Linked DNA regions of Rhinolophus ferrumequinum. The protein of the gene in region 3 binds, or shares a complex with, the protein of the main gene of each other region. Links are inferred from orthologs where the notes say so. Each region holds a gene or a part of one and is shown on either strand. Other genes may lie near its edges.

Region 1 (7,320 bases), on a different chromosome or scaffold from region 3:
ACAATACTTGGGAATGCAAATGGGAAACTAATTGCATACACTAACATTTACAGAAAGATATTACAAGCAGCTTATAGCAATCAATGTGAGTCACCACATTAGCAGAATAAAGAAAAAAAGGAATATGATCATCTCACAGTTGATAAAATTCAACATTTATTAACAGTAAAAACTCTTGAACTAGAAACTTACTTCCTTTATCTACTAAATGGCATCTACAAAAACCTACAGCAAACGTAATATTTAAGGATGAAATGTTGAAAGCAATCACTTTAAAATCCAAATTAATCCAATACAACCAAATCAATGCAATTCCAGTCAAATTCCCAACAGGCTTCATGTGTATGTGTGTGAGCTGACAAGATGAGTCTAAATTTTACATGGAAAATGTAAAGGCAAAATGGCAAAGACATTTCTTGGAGAAGACAAAGGCAGGAGAAATTGTTTTTCCAGGAACCACAACTTATTTTAAAGATAGAGTAATGAGTAAAATGTGATAATGGCATAGAAATGGACAAATAAGACCAATGGGACAGAATACAGAACTCTGAAACAGAAACACATACATGTATGGATACTTGACGTGTTGAAGAGATAGAACTCCTAACGAAAGCAGACTTTTCAAAAAACTTGGCAGAACAACTGATTATCCATATGTGGGAGAAAAATAAAAAAAATAGACCCTTACCTCATGAAATTCTATTCTTAAGGAGTAAGGTCATAAGAAAGGAAAGGCTATGAAACTTTTGGACAACAACGTATGATAATAACTGTATGACTCAAAGACAGGGAAGAGTTTCTTAAAAAAAAATAAGAAAAGTACAAACCATAAAGGAATATACTGATATCTTCAACCTTGTTAAAATTAAAGACCGGAGTTCACCAAAACACCAGACAGTGGAAAATAGAAAGAGAAGACACGCTACAAACTGGAAGGTATCTGAAACACATTTAAGCCACAAAAGACTCACATTCAGAACATATATAAAGAGCTCCTACAAAAAGCAAAGGGAAGACAACTGTGAGAGAAATGAGCAACAGAAATTTGACAAAGAAAATGCACAACTAATAAAGATGTGAAAAGATGCTCAAACTACCTGTCAACAGGCAAATGAGTATTAAAACCACCGACTAATGTCTCCACTACCACCAGAGAGGCCAAAATCCTTAAAATGGCCGAGGCTGAGACTCACCCACTGCCCATAGAGTGTAAACCCTTATAAGCACTTCAGACAAGTTGATTTTACCTGCTCATCTGTATATCCTCCGAAATCCACTATCAGGTACATACCTTACAGAAACTTTCCCACATTGGCCCCAGGAAATATGCTTATAAAAGCACCATGTGGGAGCAAAAAAACTGGCAAAAAGTATAAGTGAAGACCAACTGAACGGCCTCCATAAAGTGTGTATAATCTGACCTTGGAATTCAAAGCACTGAAGATGAAGTAGAGCTACTCACAGCGACACAGATGCATCTAATGTATACATGGTGTTAAATGCAAAAATCGAGTCACACAAAATATGTTAGGATCCCATTTATATAAAACTCAAAACCTAGCAAACCATGCACTGCATTCATCAGAGATACATCAACAGTAAAAACAACAAAGAAAACAACAGAACGAAGAACACAATACTCAGCGCAGTGGTTCTCTTTGGTGAGGGAAGAAAGGATTCAACGGGGGCTGTGAGGACATGAAAATGTTCTAACATGGTGGGTGGATGTTTGTTTTATCTTCATTCTTCAAACTTACATTGTTATAGATATGTCACATATCTTAAAAAGGGAAGAAAATTATGTAAATATGTTAAGCCAAAATGTTACTAAAGAAGAACTAAGTAAAGAACGGTATACAATGCTGTACTTTGGGGAAAGGGGAGGGCAATGGGGGTGAAAGACAGGCTTGTTCTGTCCTAGGATTCAGTGTTCTCCCGGAAGAGGGACTGAGTGGGGAGGCTGACCACGGACACGCACTGCCCTCCCAATGGCCTTCAAACAGAAATGCTTGTGGAATAAGCAGATGTCAGTCATAACCATCCACGTGTGCCATGTGCTACAGCACAGTCTCCTTTACTCGTCACCAGAACCTTATGAGAAAGCCATTCCTTACTCCATTTTACACACGAGGAAGCCGGCTGAGGGCACAAGGGGACACACACAGTGATGGAGACAGAGGGTGACGACACAAAAGCGCAGTTCAGGATGTGTGGCACCCCCGCCAGCGAGAAATAGGAGTAAATAATAACATGAGGATCCCGGCTCCTAGTCTGCAATTGTCAAATCTAAAAAGGTCTGAACATCAAATCTTTTAAGTTTGAAAACTGGATCAGATCTAAGGTGGGGCTATCTATGGTCGTTCTTTATCCCTTTTAGTGTAAACCCGCGTGTCTTCAGCGGCGGTACTACGGTTGTGACTGACTACAAGACGCTGCCCCAGACGCCGCTGACGGTGGGGCCTAACCTGTGGAGAACGCAGGCTCCCCACCCTCCTCCGGAAACCCCGAAACGCGGGGTTCTGAACGCTGACAGCCGCGGGGCTTTAACGTCGGGGCTGTGGACTCGGACACAGCGAGACGCTCGGCGCACAGAACGCGGGCGCGGGGCGCGGCGCCAGTGGCTGACGAGCAGTCGGCGCGGGCCGGCTGCACGCACTCAGTTCAGACACATTTCGTACTTTTCTTCACCTAACATCATGCTAAGAACTATCTTCTCATCTAATATCACGGTTTAAAAGTGTCCCTGTGAGAGGGACGCGTTTCCGGTCTATTGGCCCTCGCGGCCCCCTCTGGGCCTCAGTTTCTCCAGCCGGAAACGAGAAGCCCCGGGGCCCCGGGCCCTCAGCGCCGCACTGGGCGCAATGCGCAGGCCGCCCCGGACCTCAGCCCCACCTTCCGGCCTCCCTCGCCGCTCCGGACGGCGTTCTCGAGTCGCCGTTACCCTCGGAGGCGCCCAGGAGCTGCTCACAGGGCCCGCGCCGTTGGCAAAAAGCGGACTCGGCTCCTCCCTCAGGGCGGAGCACGCGACGCTCCCATTGGTGGTCGTGCAGGTTCGTCCCGCCCGCTCGATGACGCACTTCCCGTTACCCCTCCCGCGCCGTTGCCGTGGTGCCGCAGGATCGATCTGTCAAGTCCAGTTTTAGGCGCTTCCCTGGCCTCTCTGGGGACTTTATGGAAAAGGAGGAGGAGGAGTGCAGCGTGCGCCACCCTCATGGCCGCGATTTCCCCACCTGTAGAACTGGCAGTGTGGCCTCGTGGTCAAGGATGGGGGGCTCTGTTGTCATATATCCTGACCAGAATCCTGGCCCTGCAACTTACCAGATGCCTCATCTTGGACAAATCACAGAGAGGCGCTGAGCCTCAGTTGCTCCTGTCAAACGGGGATAATAGTCCCCACGTAGCAGCAGCGTGCTTGTGAGGTTTACAGGACAACACGCATGAAGGGCTGATATTGAATGTTAGCGACTGTCCTGCTCTGGGAGTGTTGTGAGGAGTAAATGAAGTTATCGGTGGAAGTGGATGGGCACGTTACCATCGTTTGTATTCCAGTCCCTGGTCTGCCAACCAGGACCCAGTGCAGCAGGGAATAGGGGTGGCTAATTACAGAACAGCGGGGAGTGCAAGTATCTCTGTGACCACAGCCTCAACCCACCTCCACCCCACCCGCAGGCCAGTTAACTCTGTTGTGACCTCGGACAATTCAACCGCCCTGGACCTCAGTTTGATCATCGGCTGAGCAGGGAAAGCTTGGGCTCCAGAGCCCAAGCTGGATTTGAATCCAGGTTCTTACACTCAGAATCTTTGAGACCCAGGACAAAGTAGTCCCTCACAGTTCGTTCTTCTGTAAAGCAGGGATAATAATACCATTGTTTTGATGGGCTTGTTATGAAGATTAAATACATTAATACATGCAAACACTTAGAAGAGTGTCTGGCACATAGTAAGCCCTCAGTAAGTGTGAGCTTCCAGTATGAACAAAGTACTTTACAAATTGCCTTAGGGTCAGTCGAATAAGAGAAGAACAGCCCTAAGAAGGACTGGGCTGCCATGTTTTGTTTGCCCTGCACAGTTGTGTACACTTTTCAATTCATTATCAACATTTAAAGTTGAGGGATTTCACAGAAAACCCTGGGGTGTCTGTCCGCTCTTGTAAAATTGGGCAATGGGACAACAGGCCACACTTGTTCAGAGCTTGGTAGAAACTGTCCCTTTGTAATGCACCGTGTTTTCCTGGAGTATAGAGGGGGAAAAAAAACCCCGAGGACCATGAACACAAAATGCTGGGAACACTGGCATTTCAGGATGAAAGGGCCAAGGAGGAGGTAGAAAGAGAAGACAGGATTCAAGACTGTGGTGTCAGAGGCAAACAGGTAGAGAGTTTTGAGAAACAGGGTGTGGTCAGGTTTGCCAGTGCTCTGGAGAGGTCAAGAAAGATATGCCACTGATGAAGAATTTCATGGGCAGTAAGTAAGTGCTGGGAAGTCAGCCTGGAGGGGCGCAGCAGCCTGAGATCTCGGTGAAGTGGTAGTGTTGGACAGGAGCAAGTAGTGGGTAAGGACTGGAATTGGCAATGAGGGAGTGACCCATCACAGGGCGACTGTCCAACCTCAGCATGACCACCCTCAGAAGACTGCCCACTCTCCAGGTGGTTCTGTGAGATTCTATTAGGAAACTTGGATGTGCCACGAATTGGACTGTTTGCTACAAGACTGTAACACTTCAAATGTCCTTCTGAAAGTTGGCCCTAAAAGATACAAGAGCTACACGGACATAAATTTGTTGTACATATGGAGGTTGCCTAGGCCTTGGCTAGAGAGAAAGTGTGGGGCCAAATCACAGGCTAAGGGGCTGTCTTTTACCTGAGAACCACAGAAGCTCAGAGAGGAATTGAGGAGACCAAGTTTGCATTACAAAAAAAAATATTTGCATATCTGTTCTTTTCAAACATACTTGGAACATTTACAGAAATTGACTACCACAAAGGAAGCCTCATTGAAATCCAGATTCAATAGGTCACATTCACAACCCACAATAAAGGAAAATTAAAAATCAATAACAAAAAGAGAGCCAAAAAGAAACCCATACAATTCAATAGAGTATACCTTAAATTAGTAACAGTAGGAGGGGCCAAGAAGACAGGCTAGTTTGTCTTTTTATCATGTATATCTATGACTTATGAAAAATAAAATTAAAAATTATAAGCATACATTTGAATTTCATGTCTTCGGTTGGAAGTTCATTATATTTTTATACTTTTTGTATGTAGATAGCTTTTATGACACATTTTTAAAAGAAAAAAACGTGCATTTGTAAACTGAAAAATACATGTGGATTTAAAAAATGTATATGGAAATCACAAAATATTTAGAAATGAATGACAATAAGAGCCTTACATAATAAATTCTGTGTGCTCTAACTAAAACAGTAATTAGAAGGGGGATTATAGCCTCTGGTGTACTTATTACAAAACAAGAAAACAAAATTTGTGTTCCATTTAAGAGGTAGAAAAATAAATAAACCCAAAGAAAATGGAGGGAAAGAAATAATAATAAAGCAAAAGCAGAAATGAGTAACAAATGAGAAACAAGAGAAAATCAAGTTGATTATGGAAACCACATACTCACATAAATTTTGGATTTACTGCGTTTTAAGCTTGATCCAGTGGTGGCAATGGGTGTGGATTGGTGGAGCAGAGAGGGGAAGTGACCCTTCCACTCCGCCCTCAGCCTAGAGGGATGCTGACAGGCCCCAAAGGCCAAGATAAAAGCCATTCCTGTGTATAGTGCGGGCAGAGTCAGGCACTGGCATGAGAAGGATACACAGTGCTGGCAGCAGGGTCCACTGCTCAGTCTTCCTAACAGGCAGTGTGGCTGTGCTTTTCCAGAGCCTGGGCCTACGTGCTGTGTGACAGGGGACAGCATTTGCAGGGGGAGCTGAACACCTGGCTCCTGGCGCAGCTTTGCTGGAACAGGCTTCCCCCTGCACAGCTGTGGTAGCTGTACCTGTCCGGTAGGTTGGGGTACAGTCCCTCAGTTTTTTACTGGCATAAGGGGTCTTGTCCAATGCTGGGACCACTCTCAGGTCCAGAGTGATGGCCTGGTGTGGGAACTTCAGTCTTGGGGGGAGGGGCGCATATATGGAAGGCATATATGGAAGACCTGGGAAAACAGTGCCGAGTCAGCCAAGGACACCTCGAGAGATTCCAAACACATAGCCCCCACACACAGTCAGCGACCGTGGGCTGGTAGCAGCTCAGCACCCCACACCCCACATTGTTTGTCTATTTCTGTCCCTGTCTGACCTTCTCCTTCAGTCTCTGAACATCTGTCTTTGTCTGACTAGGTTCAAGATATTCATGAAACATGCTTGTCCATGGAAAAACATTCAGCCTAAGAGAAAGCCTATAAAGAGTCTATCTGTGCCAAACCGATGCCAATTGCTGGGAAGCAAAATCTCAACGGACTGAGAAAATGCTTCACAAAATGGTGGTTTGCAGTTATTTTATACACAGAATCAAAGGAGGAGGGTTACATGAAATCCATTGGTGGTAGATTAATGGGGTGGGAGAAAGCAAAGCAGGGAAATCTCTGTGATTAAAGTAAATTGGAGAGACAGGTACTTCTTTCACATAGGTGGGTACAGGATAGTTAATAGCACTTTTCACAGCACATAGAGATGGGAATCCAGAGAAGAATAATAATGAGGGGTTCTACAGCTTCCTGCTCTGGTGGTGGGGGGAGGGAGGCATTACTGACATTCCAAAGGGTGTGTTATTTTTGATGCAAAAAGACAGTTGACAGGCTCACTTAAGGTAAAGACTGACCTTTGTCTAGGAAGCTGCAGGCCAAGGATGTGACTTCCCGCCATGGCCCACCTGAGTTAGGAATTTGTATGTTCACGCCGTCCTATACGTGGTTATTTTCAGTCTCCTGAGCTTGTCAGGTTTCACCTGTGGCCCCTTTTCCATCCTCATGCTCTTGTCGTCACCCTGCAGAGACCCTTTCGAGCCCCCAAGAGACCTCACTTCATCCCTAGCTCGGGATGTCTTACCTACCCCTGTTCCTTTTCTATCTCCCTACGTCTCCTACATGTGGGGTCCCTGACTCTCCTGTGTGCAGGGTTCCCATATGTATGTATTAAATCTGCTCGTTTCCTCTTGATAATCTGTTTCATGTTTATTTGATTATTACAGCAGTCAGAAGCCTGGGGGTAGAGGAAAGTCTTCCCCACATAAGCAAGTAATCAGATATTTAATAAAAGGTGAAATTTGGGAGTGTATCTACATCACTGGGTCCTGAAATAAGATTCGACAATTTAACT
Region 2 (7,201 bases), on a different chromosome or scaffold from region 3:
GTTGGAAAGTTTATCATTACTACTATGCAAAATACTTATCCACTTGCCAAATAATGTTTAATGGCAAAATCCACTACCACCGAAGATTAAATTCCTATAGAGATCAAGAAAAGAAGCTTATAGGCATACTCACTGCACCTTCAAAAACTGTTTCCTTAAAGACCCAATTTTTGGCAATAACCACCAAATAAGTCTATAATATGTATTTTTAAAACAATTGCAAGTAATAAAAAAAAGCATTTATGGTTTTATCCGAAGTAAAGAACTTTGGGATAAGTTAATCCTGTATTTCAGTTTAATCAGGGACAGTTTCCAGGCATTTAAAGCCTTATTAAGAAATGCCAAATTGAACTGGAAACAAATATTCAAGGCTGTTACATAATAAAACATCACTGATTCTGAAGGACACTCTGTGTACTAGCAGAAGTTACAAAGGGAAAGTAGGGGCCAGAAAAGAAATTAACCAAGTATATCAAGACTATAACTGGTTGTTAAACGATTTTTGTGTTTGAAGTAATCTGACAAAAATATCTTCTATCTCTGAGGAGAATGACAGACAAAGTAATTCAATTTTTGCCCCGCTTAACATTCAAATGGAATAGTTTTCAAAACCTTTTATGGTTCTCTGGTGCCATAATTTCTCACAATCCCATATATTTGGCCTCCATATCCCCTGCCTAGAATACCATTCCTGTATTTGACCAGTTCCTAATGACTTTTCAGCACTTAGTTGATGCTTTGTCTACTAGAGTAGAGATAACTCGACTTTTGTTGAGTTTAATCACAGGAGAAATTTTTTAGAATATGGATACCCACTCATTGACCTGAGCCCTCTCTGCAATGAAGCAAGGCATCTTAATTTTTTTTTTATAGTATTAATGTTGCATATTCACTGCCCTATGGATGTTTTTTACCATTTTTTTCACCCACTCTTTCCCCAACCTGGTTAGGAGCCCCATATGGGACTCCCTTGGTTCCCTGTAACAGAGGAACACAGTATCACAGGGCATCATAACTAAATTTTTTTTTTTTTGCAAATTATCAAATACCTTTTAACTTACGAAATTCAGAAATGATTTTTATTAATAGTCTCAAAGGACATTCAAAAAATTTTCCCATGAACATGCCAGTAAATTTTTTTTAATAACAGAAGGTCTTGACTATCTTATAAACTACCAAGAAAATCACACTGCACAGTAAACAATTTGATGTTCTTGAAAATACTTTTTCACTTTACAAGAGGTAACAATATGTGCTTTTGTTTGGATTTAACTCTGCATTTTGACACACTTTTAGAAAAGCCACAAAATGCATCCTATACTAGGAACAAAAATATTTAGTATGAATTTGTGATCATAGCCTCTGAAATTTCAAAAGTCGCCACAATATTTCTCCAGTCCTGTAAACTCAAAGATATAACCCCTTGTTTCCTGCCATAGGAACTGGGATCATTTCCCTCACTCACTTGGTTAATATTAATTGGCTCTAATATTGGCAGCCTGTCTTGGTCAAGCCTTATTCTTGCGAAACCATCCCTTATAATGAAAGAAACATAAAATATATTCTCCACGGTACGAGAAAAAGAATTTGGATCAATCACAAACTCAAAATAGGACACAGGAGTATCAGGATACTTTCGAAAGTACGTTTGCAACAATCCCAGGATTCTTTCTACTTCTTTTTCTGTCGCTTCTTGATTATTACTCAAGTCCAACTTCCTCAGTTTTACAGGCATATCCCTATTATCTTCCATTCTGTGAGTTTTTTTCTGGTGCTCACGTCGGGGCTTTCGGGCAGAAGACTCTGATTTGAATGAACCAAAAATAAAGTGGAATGTTCCAGCTTGCAATATCCAGGATGTTGCTTCCTTCTGTATTGTCTCCCAGAAGGAAAGAGCTATATTATCATCACAACCACTCAACGCATTACGTCCATTATCTTCCATCAAGTTTAGTCCCACAAATATACAGAGAAAGTCACAAAATGCTACTTGATTAAAAAAGCGCATATCACAGTTCAGCTGCTTGGCTTTTTCTTTACCCAAATCAGAAGCCAGAACAAGAAACTGGGCATCGAGAGCCGCTTCTCTTGTTCGGCTCACTTCATCAAACAGGACATTGGCTTCTTCAAGAGCCTCGCTCAACGAGTCGCTCGCTGTGTTCACTATGTCTTCACGGTTCTGTTGGACGTTGTAGATGAGCTGCCGGTACTGCTTGCGGATACTCCGGCACTTCTCCTCGTCAGCCTCAAGCCCCAGGAGATTTGGATCTATGTCGGCCTCTCCACAGCTGAGGTCGTCAGAACAGCCTTCAGAGCAGCCATCAGCCCCCACCGCCACTTCCACCTTCATGGGATCTGCCTCCTCCTCCGCCTGCTTCACGGAGTACGCACTACTGGTGATGTTCACCACCCGCTCCTCTCCCTCCTCTATGCCTCCCCGCAGGGAATCTTTTTCGTCAGACATTGTCAGTCAGTAAGCTCCGGGAGCGCTCAGCTAACGGCCTTCGCAACGGTTTCGGACAGCGGCGGAAATTGAAGGGGTCAGTCAGAGCGGAGGAACCTGTTCGCCCATGCGCACTGGTGACACCGCCGGGAGGCCCCGCCCCCAGCTCGCCCCGCCTCCTGACAGCCCCACCTTGCGGAGCCCAGGTCTTGTGCAACACGTTCGCAAACAAGCCCGTGGCGCACAGGACGCACGCAATAATCGGTCCGAAGCCCACACTCATACACCCGTTTAAGCGATAGCTAATTGTTTTAGCGTTAACTGACAGTATCATCTAGCTTTCGAAGAAACACTTGGGCAATCTATGACAAAATTGTGAGGAAACTAAAGGTCCTGTGCTTTAAAACTTGCTGTCACATACTGCAGTTAAGTCGACCTTCGTTTTTTATTCTTAGTGATTAAGAAGTGGGGTCTTTTATTTTTGAGAACTAAATCTGGCTAGATTATAAACTACCAGTAGGACCAAGGATCGTGACATGCAGAACTCCCATTACAAATAGGCCACCAACTCTAAGAGTTCATTTACTAGTAGATGGTTGTTTGGAACTCAATTCTTCATTATACAAATGTAAATTGCGTCAATTACCTTCCCGGGCCCTCAAAAGCCCAATCCCCTCCAACCTACCCCATGGAGTGGAGGGCATCACTCGTGTGTGTCACTGCTAGAGCAAGCTTGAAGGTGGGGAAGGAACGTATTACTCAAGCGATCTTTGGTTCACCACCCAAGGGTGAACAAATAAAACAGGTACAATCTCTACAAAAGAGCTGTTTATTTGGAAGCTTGCCAAAGGCTAAAGACCACAGACTGAATGGATAGTAAATCTGAACCCTAAAAGGTAAGCAAAGCAATGAAGATTTTAAACACAATCTGTGATAAAGCTATGAAAGCAAATGCTGTAAATCAGGTGACTAATCTATACTGGAAACTTCACCTACTAGTTGACTGGGAATTCTTGTACAGTTGGAGAGAGAGAGCTTAGCTTAGCAGTCACACAGGCAGCAAAGTACAGGTAACACTGGAACAGAATATATTTCATTTTTAAAGAGAATATGCATTCTCAACCCGCAAGACCAGTTTTTAACCACTGCAACAGGTGTTCCTTTTAAAGGAGAGTCCGAGAGAGGGAAAGTGGGAAAGGGGGAGAGGGGAGGGGGGATGGGAGAGGGGGCGAGGGGCAGAGGGGGAGGGGAAGAGAGAGAGAGGGAGAGAGAGAGGGAGAGAGAACACACCACACTTGACCTGTCAGCTCTGGTTTCAAGGCACACGGAAGTAAATTAGCCCTACCTTCCTTCCTATGCATCTAGACTGGTTCATTTTTCTTTGACATTAATAGAAAGTTTCTTGCAAATGCATAAACAGCAAAACCTGTTATTAAGTTATTCCAAAATATTTACATTACTATTGTGCACCATTATTTCTTTAAGTAGGGGTAATTCAGGAAGAAACATGCATTTTTCAAAAACACCATGCGCTATGGTTACTTGTGCATATATACCTATTATCCTGCCATTAGACTGTTAGCTTCTCTAAAGCAAAAACTTGGTTTAAATCTTCTAAGCAAAGCTGTTTTCACATGGATGCATTTGACTATGCACATTTAAATGCATACGTTGTAAATGAATGTAGTTTTTTTTTTTAAACTTTGTCCCAACACCTCCTACAAGTTATTTGGCAGCAAAAAATTTCAGGTTAGTTTAAGAGATTCTCAAAATGAAAATAAAAGTTGACTCCTTTTCAGAAAGTCAACCTTATCCCTTCTCTGAAATACAGAAAAAGTAAGAAAAAAACAAAGTTGGGATCCAGGATCATCAAAGGACCACATTTTCCCCCTAAGTCTGCCCAATTACAAACTAATATTTAAACCTGTTTTAAATCTAAGAGGAAGAGAGTTAATCCCTAATCCCAAATCCCAAAGAGTTTGCTTTTATAGTTAACTGTATCCTTAGGAGCTTCTGATATCCACTTCAAATTCAACAAAAGCAATTTATAAAAGAACTCCAAAAGATAAGCCAACCTTCCCACCCTAAGGTGCCTATTTTCTCCTGCATCAGAAGAGGGAGAACAGGCTGATACCAATTTGCTCCATACAGAGCCTTTCATCTAAGAATTTCGAAACGCTTCAGAAAAATAATTCTCCTCACCTACTTATAAAGTATTACTAATACTATTTATAGGGATTTCTCAGGAGATAACAGCCCACACAACTTGCTTGAAGCAACAGAACATATCAAGACAAGCATATTATTAAGTTGTCGTTTCTGTGCTGAGTTCACTCTATACTAGATCCCTGTTCTTAAGAATCTTCGTAACATGTAACTTCTGTCATCCTCAGAAACCAGACTTGCATATCCCACATTCTTAAATCTGCCTTTAGAGCATAAGGTTCATATGTCATCTCAAAATAAAATCTCAAGTCTAATGATTTTCCTTCATCATTTAAAGAATGGGATTTCTACACTTGTGCATCTTTAAATCACTAAACAGTGGCTTTCTAACCTACGGTCAAATTACTAGTAATAATTATATAAATGCAGCTTAAAAAAGGAACTACAACACACAATTTCAGTTATACTGGTAAACTGCTCTATGACTTTTAACAGAAAGCAAAAGTGCACTACTACTTCAAAGAAATCACTAACATCTACCTTCTTCATGCAGTAAGACGACTTCAGACAACCAATGGCACACAGCTTGGCCTCCAACATAATTTAGCTCCTCTCCACTACTTTGTTCTCTTTCAGGGGATGTTGCCAAAGGCTAAATAAGGCTCTCCATTTCCGTTCTTCCTTTCCTCAGTTTTTCTTCCAGTATTATTTATCAGTCCTTTGCCAGGAGTTCAGATTCATTCATTCCAAGCATTCTTAAGCTCTTTCCCACAACTCCCAGTGCTCAAGCCAAATGTGATGGGATGGATGTCACAGATCACAGGTCTCTCTCTTAAGCCAAATAAAAAAAGGACTCACATAGAGTCCACTATCTTTTCTAGTGGGATTTTTATTGCAGGATTAATCTACAACAAGAAGATGTTTAATCTCTTAAAAGACTTCTGAGCCAAACCAGGAACAAGTCAGGTAGGATCCCCACACTCTAACAGACTTATTGCTGTTAAGCTACCTCCTCAACTTCTTTATGCCTTCTTTCATATCAGTTTTTCTCTCCTCATCCTTCCAAGGTATCTATTTAATATTTAGTCGTGAAGAGATGTTGTAAAAGTCCTAGTTTGATTTATCAAAGTAGCAGGACGTTAGGTATATTTTCTTTTTCATCTTAATTTCCTTTAACGTTATATTTGTGCGTGTACATTTTTGCTTTGTTTGGTTTTGGTTTTTTAGTATTAAAGGTAAACTTTGCTGTGATTAAGGCAGGTATCTGTGTTTTTCAAATGAGTGTCTGAAAAGACCATGGCCAATGGAGGCAAACCTGGTTCCAATCTTGACTTGCTAGCTATTAGAGTTATCTTAGGCAAGTTGCTTAACCTCTTAGCCTCCAGCTTCTTCCTTTGTAAGATGGGAATACTACTACTTATATCATAAAGTTACTGTAAATATTGAATGAGAATTATGTGATAGATTTGACAATATTTTCAGCTGTTGAGTAGGTACTTAATAAATCTTAAATTATCCCAAAGATAGCAAATGGTTCATAAACATTAGACACCAAACAGAAACACCTATGTACAAACCAGTAGCTTCACTCTTGGATGTTTCAGGAACAGAAAAATATTTTAAAGGTTAAATCCATAAGGAGTAATACAAGAATGTATCTCACTTAACAAATCACAGTGAAAAGAAATTTGCCGTGTAAGAAAATTTTAAAACCTAAAGCTTCAACTAATGAAAGTGTGTATAGTTACTTTGAAGAATAAAACTCTCAACTAGATATTCTGAAGCAAGCCCACCAAAAAATCTGCGACTATATGCAAAACTACATGTGCACATTTTTCTCAGGAATGGGTCCTTGGAGTTCAGCAGATTCTTTAAAAACCCAGTGTCCAAAAGAGGCTCTGAATAACTATTCTATTCAAATAAGATTGCTTTATTGTTAGTGAAATAAAAGATAAAATGGCAATCAAGTCCCACAAAACAATTTGGAGCCAGTCACTGAAATATTTCAGAGTATATAAAACCTCCACCCTTGCCCGTGGTCAAGTCATAGACTTAACTGTCACTTCAGAAAACCCAGTGATGAGGACTTGCCAAGCCTCAAGAACTATTGTAAACAAGGGTGTGAGATGAGAACAGAACGCTTCAGGTTATAAGAGCAATTATCAACTCTCTTGGGACACCTCAGAAATCAGCAATGACCAAGAGCATCATTTTGACAGACCAGGGGTCGGAAAGCACTGGGATGTGGTTTTAAAGGGGCAGCTGGGAAGGAACTCAGCTCTGGAGGCCTGGATTCCCCAATCAAAAGCAGGGCTTTATTAGTTTCCACTTATTTTCCTCATTTGTAAAAGGCGGCTATTGTATATCTTCTCTGCCATATAGAGTGGTCGTGCCCCTTTGTAGAAAAATCATATACAAACATTCGTTGACAAATGTATTCTAAAGCATATACATCGCCCTAGACTTGTGTTAGAGGTAACAAAGTGAGGACCTAGCGCCATTTCAAGAACACAGGTGCTGAATAAATAGTAGCTAAATAGACATAATGTGACTTCTCACCTGATCTGGACACATCTGCATAGACTACTGTAT
Region 3 (6,843 bases):
TCCCTAAGCAAGTTAAGTAACCTGCCCAAATTTATATGGCTAGTTACCCTTGTTTCCCAGGAAATAAGACCTAGCGGGACAATCAGCTCTAATGTGTCTTTAGGAGCAAAAATTAATATAAGACCCGGTCTTATTTTACTATAATACAAGACAGGGTCTTATATAATACTGGGTCTTATATTAATTTTTGCTCCAAAAGATGCATTAGACCTGATTGTCCCGTGAGGTCTTATTTTTGGCAAAACACGGTAGGTGCAGCCAGGACTAAATCCAGGTAGTCTGATTCTCAAGTAGGCTGGTTAATCACTAATGGTTTCATCAACTTTTTTGTGACCCACAGTAAGAAATATATTGTACATCATGATCCAATCTGCAGGAACACATATAAAAAGTAAAGCAACTTCTACAAAACACTTAACATGTAGCAAAAACTGCCTTTAAGATGCTGGTTTTAAGTCATGAAATTAATTTCTCATGATTCACAATTTAAAAAATGCACAATGCATAACTGCTTCAAAGATATAGTATTTATTATAACTATAGTAGCAAAAACAAGGAAAACCAAACCGACCTAAGTGGTAGTTATGAAAGTAAAAAACATTTACATTGCTTGGAACAATGCTTACATATGTAGGAAATATATAAATATAAAATAGCTGTGTTAAGGCAAAAAGGGATACAGGCAGTCACATTTTTATTTTTAATTTGCAAAGGCTTTTCTTTTTCCTTACAAACTGGGGTAGTTAAGAGGCCAGGTTAACAGCCACTTCCTTTTTATTTTCTGGGCGCCAAAGCAATTTACTGATGTGTTCTTCCTTCAATCTCTGTTCCAGATCACAGCACAAACGTTTTCCCATTAGTTTTACAAAGCTAGCCAAATTTTTATACCCACATATACAGACAGTAAAACACGCCAAATAAATCCTCTCCCGAATGGTTTTGTCAACGACACTTTGGAACCACGTACCTTGTAGTACTAACAGAACACAACTCTGCAAACACATCCTACAGCTACACACATTTAAGCCTCACAGAAAAGTGCTCCCGCCACCCCCACCTCTTCAACCGGTGCTTTTGACCCTTCTCCCCGCCGCGGTTTCGAGGGACGGGGCTGGGCCCGCCGTCTGAGGCCGGGCCCGGGCCTCCTCCTCCGCCAAAGCCTCACAGTACTGCGCGGGCCAGTCCTTGGGGTCCTGCTTGTGGACTTTGGCCACGAACTTGAGGACCTTCATCTTGCTGGTTTCCAGGTTGGTGCGCGGGCCCCACTGGAATTCGTAGTCGACCGGATCCGTGTGGGGAATCCGCCGGTACTCCAGGTAACGCTGCCGCACGAAGTCTTCGGTTATGAGTTTCTTTGGGTCCCCGAAGATTAAATGCTTCTTGGTGGGGAACACCCCCAGGCGCCGCAGGAAGTCCCAGACCTCGGTCTCCTTGATGCTGTTGCCCTTCATGAAGATGAGCCCCAGGACGATCATGAGGAGGCCGGTGGTGGGCGTGCCCTGGTCGCCCCTCAGCTCCGCGTCCTCCTCCACCGGCTCCAGGCTGTTGATGAGAATGTAGCTGTTGCTCTTGGGCTCCAGCTCCACCAGCTTGTACCCGAACACGTACTGCAGGCGCTCGGCGGCCAGCCTCAGGAGGTCGGCGAAGATGTCCCTGTAGTCGCCGATCACGTGCTTCAGCATGTCGCTGCGCTTGATCGGGATCTTCTTCTGGTCTTTGATCAGCAAGAACTGCACCAGCTCGGCCACCTTCAGCTCCAGCTGCTTCTGGGACCTGGGCCCCACGGCCGGGGACGCCTCGGCCCGGCGGGCGCGCTGAGGCGAGCTGCCCACCCCGCGGGAGGTGCTCGGGGCCTCCTCGGCGACGCCGCCTCTCGCGGCCCGGCTGTCTCCGCCGCGGCCCCAGTCCTTCTCCCTCTCGGCCTGGCCGCCAAGGCGGCCCCGGTGTCTCGGCTTCTGCAACATGTCGCCGGCGGTGACGGCTGGGCGACCGCGCGGACTCCGGCGGGCGGTAACCGGCAGCAGCGGCAGCTGAGGGAAAGCGGCGCGCGGCGAGGATGGGGGGGAGGGGCGCGCGACACGCCGGGGCGGGGCCAGAGGGAGCGCGCGCCGCGTCGAGACTGCGCGCTGCGTCGGCGGGGCCTGCGCGGCGCGTCACGGAGGCGACGTGTTGCGTGCGCGGAGTCTCTTGGCCGCCGCGGCTTTCTGCGCAGCCCCGCGGGGTCACCGCAGTGCTTTTATTAGTCGGTGCTTAAAAGTGTCGTCCGTTCCCAGCCGCGCAGACAGGGAACCGGAGCCCAGACTCCTCAAGAGGAGTGCGGCTACGTTCGCGCCCGCACAGGCTCAGGGAAGTGTTTTCAAGTCGGGAATAGTTTTAGATGGAGCGAAGTCAAGGAATGGGGGAGAAACATAAGGTGAAGAGAAAGCGAAGAGCGTGCAAGTGAAGAAAAAGCATTTCCTTTTACACACAGCTGGACGTAAAAAGAAAAGACCCAGAAGACGCCTAGATTGTTTTGCCTTCGCCACTCCCCTCGCACAAGTTTAAACCCTCCTCACCATTTACCACCATTACTTTCACGAATGCCCCTGAGAGTCTATTAAAAACGAATGTTTGGTAAAGCAGGCTTGCCTCGCAAGCAGGACTCCCCCCATCTTTTCACGATTTCAGTGTTTATATTTTTGCATTATACTCCATCAGCTAGACAACTATGACCAAGCCACCACATACAGTGGTTTTGCTTGGTCAAATGAGTTTATCTTCTGGAACGCACGTGATCACGTGAACTGCCTTGGGCTCACAACCACAGTTTTAGCAGAAATGGAAAAAAAGGATGCTACAAACAGAGAAACGTGTTCTCTCAAGAGATTACCATTTAATTTTGGGCATCACTGATCAAGAATTGCAATAATGTGAATCTCTTAAATTTCTCAATTCTTAAAATATCTGCCTTAGGGCTCGATGAGAAAGAGAAGAGAACCCAGGGGTATCATCCCTCATAATCTGTGATGTGTGCTTTGTGTATATATATATTTTTTTAATTGTGCAACTATAATAGCCAACATGAGTCATTTCATTAACTCAAACTATCTGTGTCTGCTGCCATTACTTCTACAGATCGTAGTAATTGTGTTCCTTTTCTATTTACTGACTTGCAAAGAATTAACAATTTCCCTCTGTCTTTTTAAACTACCCAGAAAGTGGGTAACCTCTTCAAAGAACCAAATCAAATTGAGTTTCTCTTTAATGCAAATATATTCAAAGGAAAGCAATTCAAAACACATTATTTGAATAATAGCATCAAAACACAATCTTATTAAAAATTTCATTAAGTGTTAGCATAAAATTTTTGTTAGTAATTCAATATGAAAATGCAATCTGATAATGACACTGGAGCTGCACTAAATGTAAAATGATATTCCATGTTATGATGCAAGTATGCTCGCTAAAATCTGGTAAACTATGAGTAATAACTTTCTGTTCCATACAGGATCTAACAATATATTCTCAAGCATCAATCTTAATGACAGAAGACTACTATGAAAAACAAATATATCATCGAGGCATTCATTTTTTTTTTACAATGAGAAAATCCATCTGCTTCAGTTTTCTTGCAAATTAAAATTTGGACTGAGGATCAAAGAAAAACTACTGCAGCGGAGAATTCTGCAAAAGGTTCCTCCAATTGTGCCCTGAGTAAAAAATCAGCAACCATGAGATAACAGAGAAATGGAAAATAAGATGAAAGCCATCGTCAACAACTGGGCTGGTTTTTCAGTGTTTTTTTTTTTTTTTTTTTTTCTCGCAAAAGTGTTCACTTAAATTACCAAGTAGCCCCGCTAGTCAAGCTACCCCAGTGACTGTGAAAATCAGCTGTGTCCATCAGTGGAATCTTTAGTCAGATAGCAGATTGTCAAACTCAAAATGGGTGAGAAAAGATACCAGTTTAAAGTCTTAAAACACCTCTCTACACTGTGTCCAGAAGAATACAAGTGAGAAAATATCACATGATAATATTAGAATGAAGCTTATATACTGCATGGAGAAGGAGCCCAGACCCCCACTCCACCTTAGATTGACATAGTGTTTGAGGGAAAATTGTTGTCATGGTGATGGCAATAACAACACTAACACTAATAATAATAAATATAAACAACAGCAGCTGATGATTATTACAAAGGTAACTGTAGGTCAGACCCTATTCTAAGTGATCTGCACCTAGTACTTCATTTAATCCCCACAACAACCCCATGAGGCCCCATTTATTATGTTTTTCTTCTTACAAATGAAGAAACTGAAGCACAGAGAAGAATATTAACTCTTTTGAGGTCCTACAGCAAGAAAGTGCTAGATTTGAACCTGAACTAAGGCGTTCTGCCTCCAGAGACTGCCCTTAACCACACAATGCAAAGGGAACATGATGTGGTGTCCTTGAAAAAGTAAAAAGTCTGGGAGTCGGCCTGCCCTAAGTTAGATACCTGTATGACCCTGGGAAAGCTACTGACACTCCTTTCAGTTTCCAAATCAACAAAATAAGATTGATAATGATTTGCTTCTTTCCAGGGCGTTTATATTAAGGAAAATATTTGAGGACTACATAACGCTGTGTGAAGAAAGATGTTTACTGCAGCGAACCACGTGTGCACGAAAATCAGACGAAAGTCTGAAAAAATATATCACAGTGCTATTAAAAGTATTTTCTTTTAAAAATGAAATGCAATGTTTATTTTCTTGCTTTGGGAGATCAGTGAAAATATACTTTCAATCAATTTTAACATCTCAGGGACACCAGGCCATAACAGTTTTACACATTCAAATTTCCAGTAAATTCAGTGTAATTTGCATGGGACATTTGTGACTTTTTGTTTAGCCAGTGAAGTACTAAAGACAAGTGGTTAAAAAAAGAAAAACATTTTCAAACACTTTATGTTAATGACTTTAGTACTTTTATTACTAGACCCAAAAGAAAACAAAAATTATTTGAGGCAAAAAATTAGCTAGCTAAGATTTAGTTGCATTGAAAAAAGAAATGCCTACTACCAACTGCTGTTTAGACGTCACTAATTAATGGCTTTATTTCGTCTCCTTGGTAGCAAATGCCTGCCAAGAAGCTCTAATCATCCTTATTATCTACTGCATTCTCTTGGTTCCTTGGTATTTCTTGCAGAATCAGAGGAAGGTTTTACATTTCCTGGCAGTGACCTAGTACAAAAAAGTAAGTAAGGACGTTGGGGGAATAAAAGCAATGATCAAAGTAGGCAGCCAGCATGTGCGAGTGGCTCTGCTGCCTCTTCTAGTGGAAGAAAAGGGGGGCCGTGTGCAGCATGTGAGCAAAGGGGTTGGGTGGGGGTAGGGGCTATTTCGGCGGGTAGACAGTAGGAAAAGCAATGCAGCAACTCTCTTTTCAAGAAATATAAATCTTCCGATGACCCACGGCCTTTTACTTACGAAAATCATGAAGGTCTATTAAGTTATAAAATTACAAACACATGAGGTCTCAATAGTGGCCAATAATTTCTTTTCGTTGGCTGTTTTTGCCCCTGTTCTGCATCTTTACCCTTTGGTAATTGCTTCTTCCCATTTCTAGGAGACCCTGGAAAAAGCTCTGCCTTCATTTTCTGGGTGCATGTGATTCAGGCGGGCCACAGTGACTGGATTGGGAGTCCAGTCAGACTCCTTTTAGGGGTTCATATGAGCTCTCTCTGAGCTAACAAGCTGAAGGGGGATGTAAGCCTAGCTATCTCTGCCTTGCTTGGGAATAATCTGCAACATGGTGAAGGCAACTCAAAGGAGATCTAAGCGATGGAGAAACAGTCCGAATGGTGCTAACTGAAGTCCTGGATCCCAAGTGCAAGGCTGAACTCCTGGGATGACTAATTACTGGAGTAAGTAAAATCTGCTTTTGCTTTATCTGCTTCAAGTTGGTTCCCCTCACTTGAAACTGAACCAATTCTGGCTAAGTGGCATCCAAACCCATTACACAGAGGAAAAGAGGGTACTAAGGAACAAGAGTTTGTTTCAAAGTCACGGCAATAGACACGGTTAATATTACCTGCAAAGATATCTGAATGTAATGAGAGGTGATCTGAATAAAATTTGACAGTTTAGTTAGGGTTCTTGGCAGTGTTCTGTGGTTGGGGAACATGCTTATGATTTTAGTTGCCAGCAATAAGTGCAAGTAAGAAACCATGAAAGATTGTTTCTCCTTATAGAATGTACACATGAGCTAACCTGGTGATTTACCATGTAGAAAGGCGTTTCAGAGAACGTAGAACACACGCTGAAGCACCTGCTATGCCAGAGTAGCTCTTTTCTCCATGCTTAACCCAAAGCATTTCTCCAGTGGCCACACCATGCACGATGACAGACACCTCATTCTTTCCTCCTGGACTCCACTTTGGCCCTGAGCAGAGGTATAGATAACCACAGGGCAAGCGCACCGAAAAGGAGAATGGACGGGGCTAATTTAACCCTGCGAGGGACTAGGCAGATAGAACTGTTCACAGTAGCGAAAAGGTAGAAATGACCCCAATGTCTGCTTACTGATGAATGGAGAAAATGTATGCCAATACCACAGAGTATTTTTCAGCTTTAAAAAAGAATGAAGGACAAACACAGGCCATCATGTGGATGCACTTCAAAAACATGCTAAATGAATACAGCCACTCACCAAACAGCGTATATTGTATAATGCAACTTCCACGAAATGTCTAGAATAGGCAAATCCACAGAGGCGAAAAGTAGATTGATTAATGGTTGCCTAGAACTGGGGGAGGCGGGGAATGGGGGAATCACTACTCTTGGGGTGACTGAACATGTCATAAAATTAGGTGAAGATGATGGTTG

The links. Proteins that work in one complex are often made in the same cells at the same time.
Region 1: the proteins of NSMCE3 (region 3) and NSMCE1 are in contact, whole or in part, in a crystal structure (PDB 7DG2), measured with the Xenopus laevis proteins. The link is inferred for Rhinolophus ferrumequinum from reciprocal best matches to the Homo sapiens genes NSMCE3 and NSMCE1. Residues at the interface, in XP_018121157.1 of Xenopus laevis: Gly57, Glu58, Val60, Gln61, Tyr62, Leu64, Ile65, Lys66, Gln68, Lys69, Val82, Thr100, Gln102, Gln103, Val104, Phe105, Gly106, Phe107, Asn123, Leu125, Gln126, Arg127, Val128, Gly130, Asp131, Gly132, Met133, Arg134, Asp136, Glu137; in NP_001083134.1 of Xenopus laevis: Ile5, Glu7, Gln10, Arg11, Leu13, Gln14, Ala15, Met17, Ser18, His19, Leu30, His33, Leu37, His38, Leu54, His57, Leu58, Pro60, Leu61, Phe62, Met63, Val84, Asn86, Ile88, Thr89, Met91, Ala92, Ser93, Asp94, Gln149.
Region 2: NSMCE3 (region 3) and EID3 share a complex: the UniProt entries of both Homo sapiens proteins name them as parts of the SMC5-SMC6 complex. The link is inferred for Rhinolophus ferrumequinum from reciprocal best matches to the Homo sapiens genes NSMCE3 and EID3.

Annotation. Positions count from the first base shown.
Region 1 is NW_022680357.1:19,109,144-19,116,463, forward strand, and holds the start of NSMCE1 (non-structural maintenance of chromosomes element 1 homolog), read right to left. Parts: upstream 3,006-7,320; 5' UTR 2,893-3,005; intron 1-2,892. UniProt on the Homo sapiens protein: RING-type zinc finger-containing E3 ubiquitin ligase that assembles with melanoma antigen protein (MAGE) to catalyze the direct transfer of ubiquitin from E2 ubiquitin-conjugating enzyme to a specific substrate.
Region 2 is NC_046293.1:15,688,262-15,695,462, forward strand, and holds EID3 (EP300-interacting inhibitor of differentiation 3), read right to left. Parts: upstream 2,555-7,201; 5' UTR 2,465-2,554; coding exon 1,337-2,464; 3' UTR 506-1,336; downstream 1-505. UniProt on the Homo sapiens protein: Tissue-specific component of the SMC5-SMC6 complex, a complex involved in repair of DNA double-strand breaks by homologous recombination.
Region 3 is NC_046311.1:13,570,793-13,577,635, reverse strand, and holds NSMCE3 (non-structural maintenance of chromosomes element 3 homolog), read right to left. Parts: upstream 2,045-6,843; 5' UTR 1,965-2,044; coding exon 1,062-1,964; 3' UTR 510-1,061; downstream 1-509. UniProt on the Homo sapiens protein: Component of the SMC5-SMC6 complex, a complex involved in repair of DNA double-strand breaks by homologous recombination. The complex may promote sister chromatid homologous recombination by recruiting the SMC1-SMC3 cohesin complex to double-strand breaks.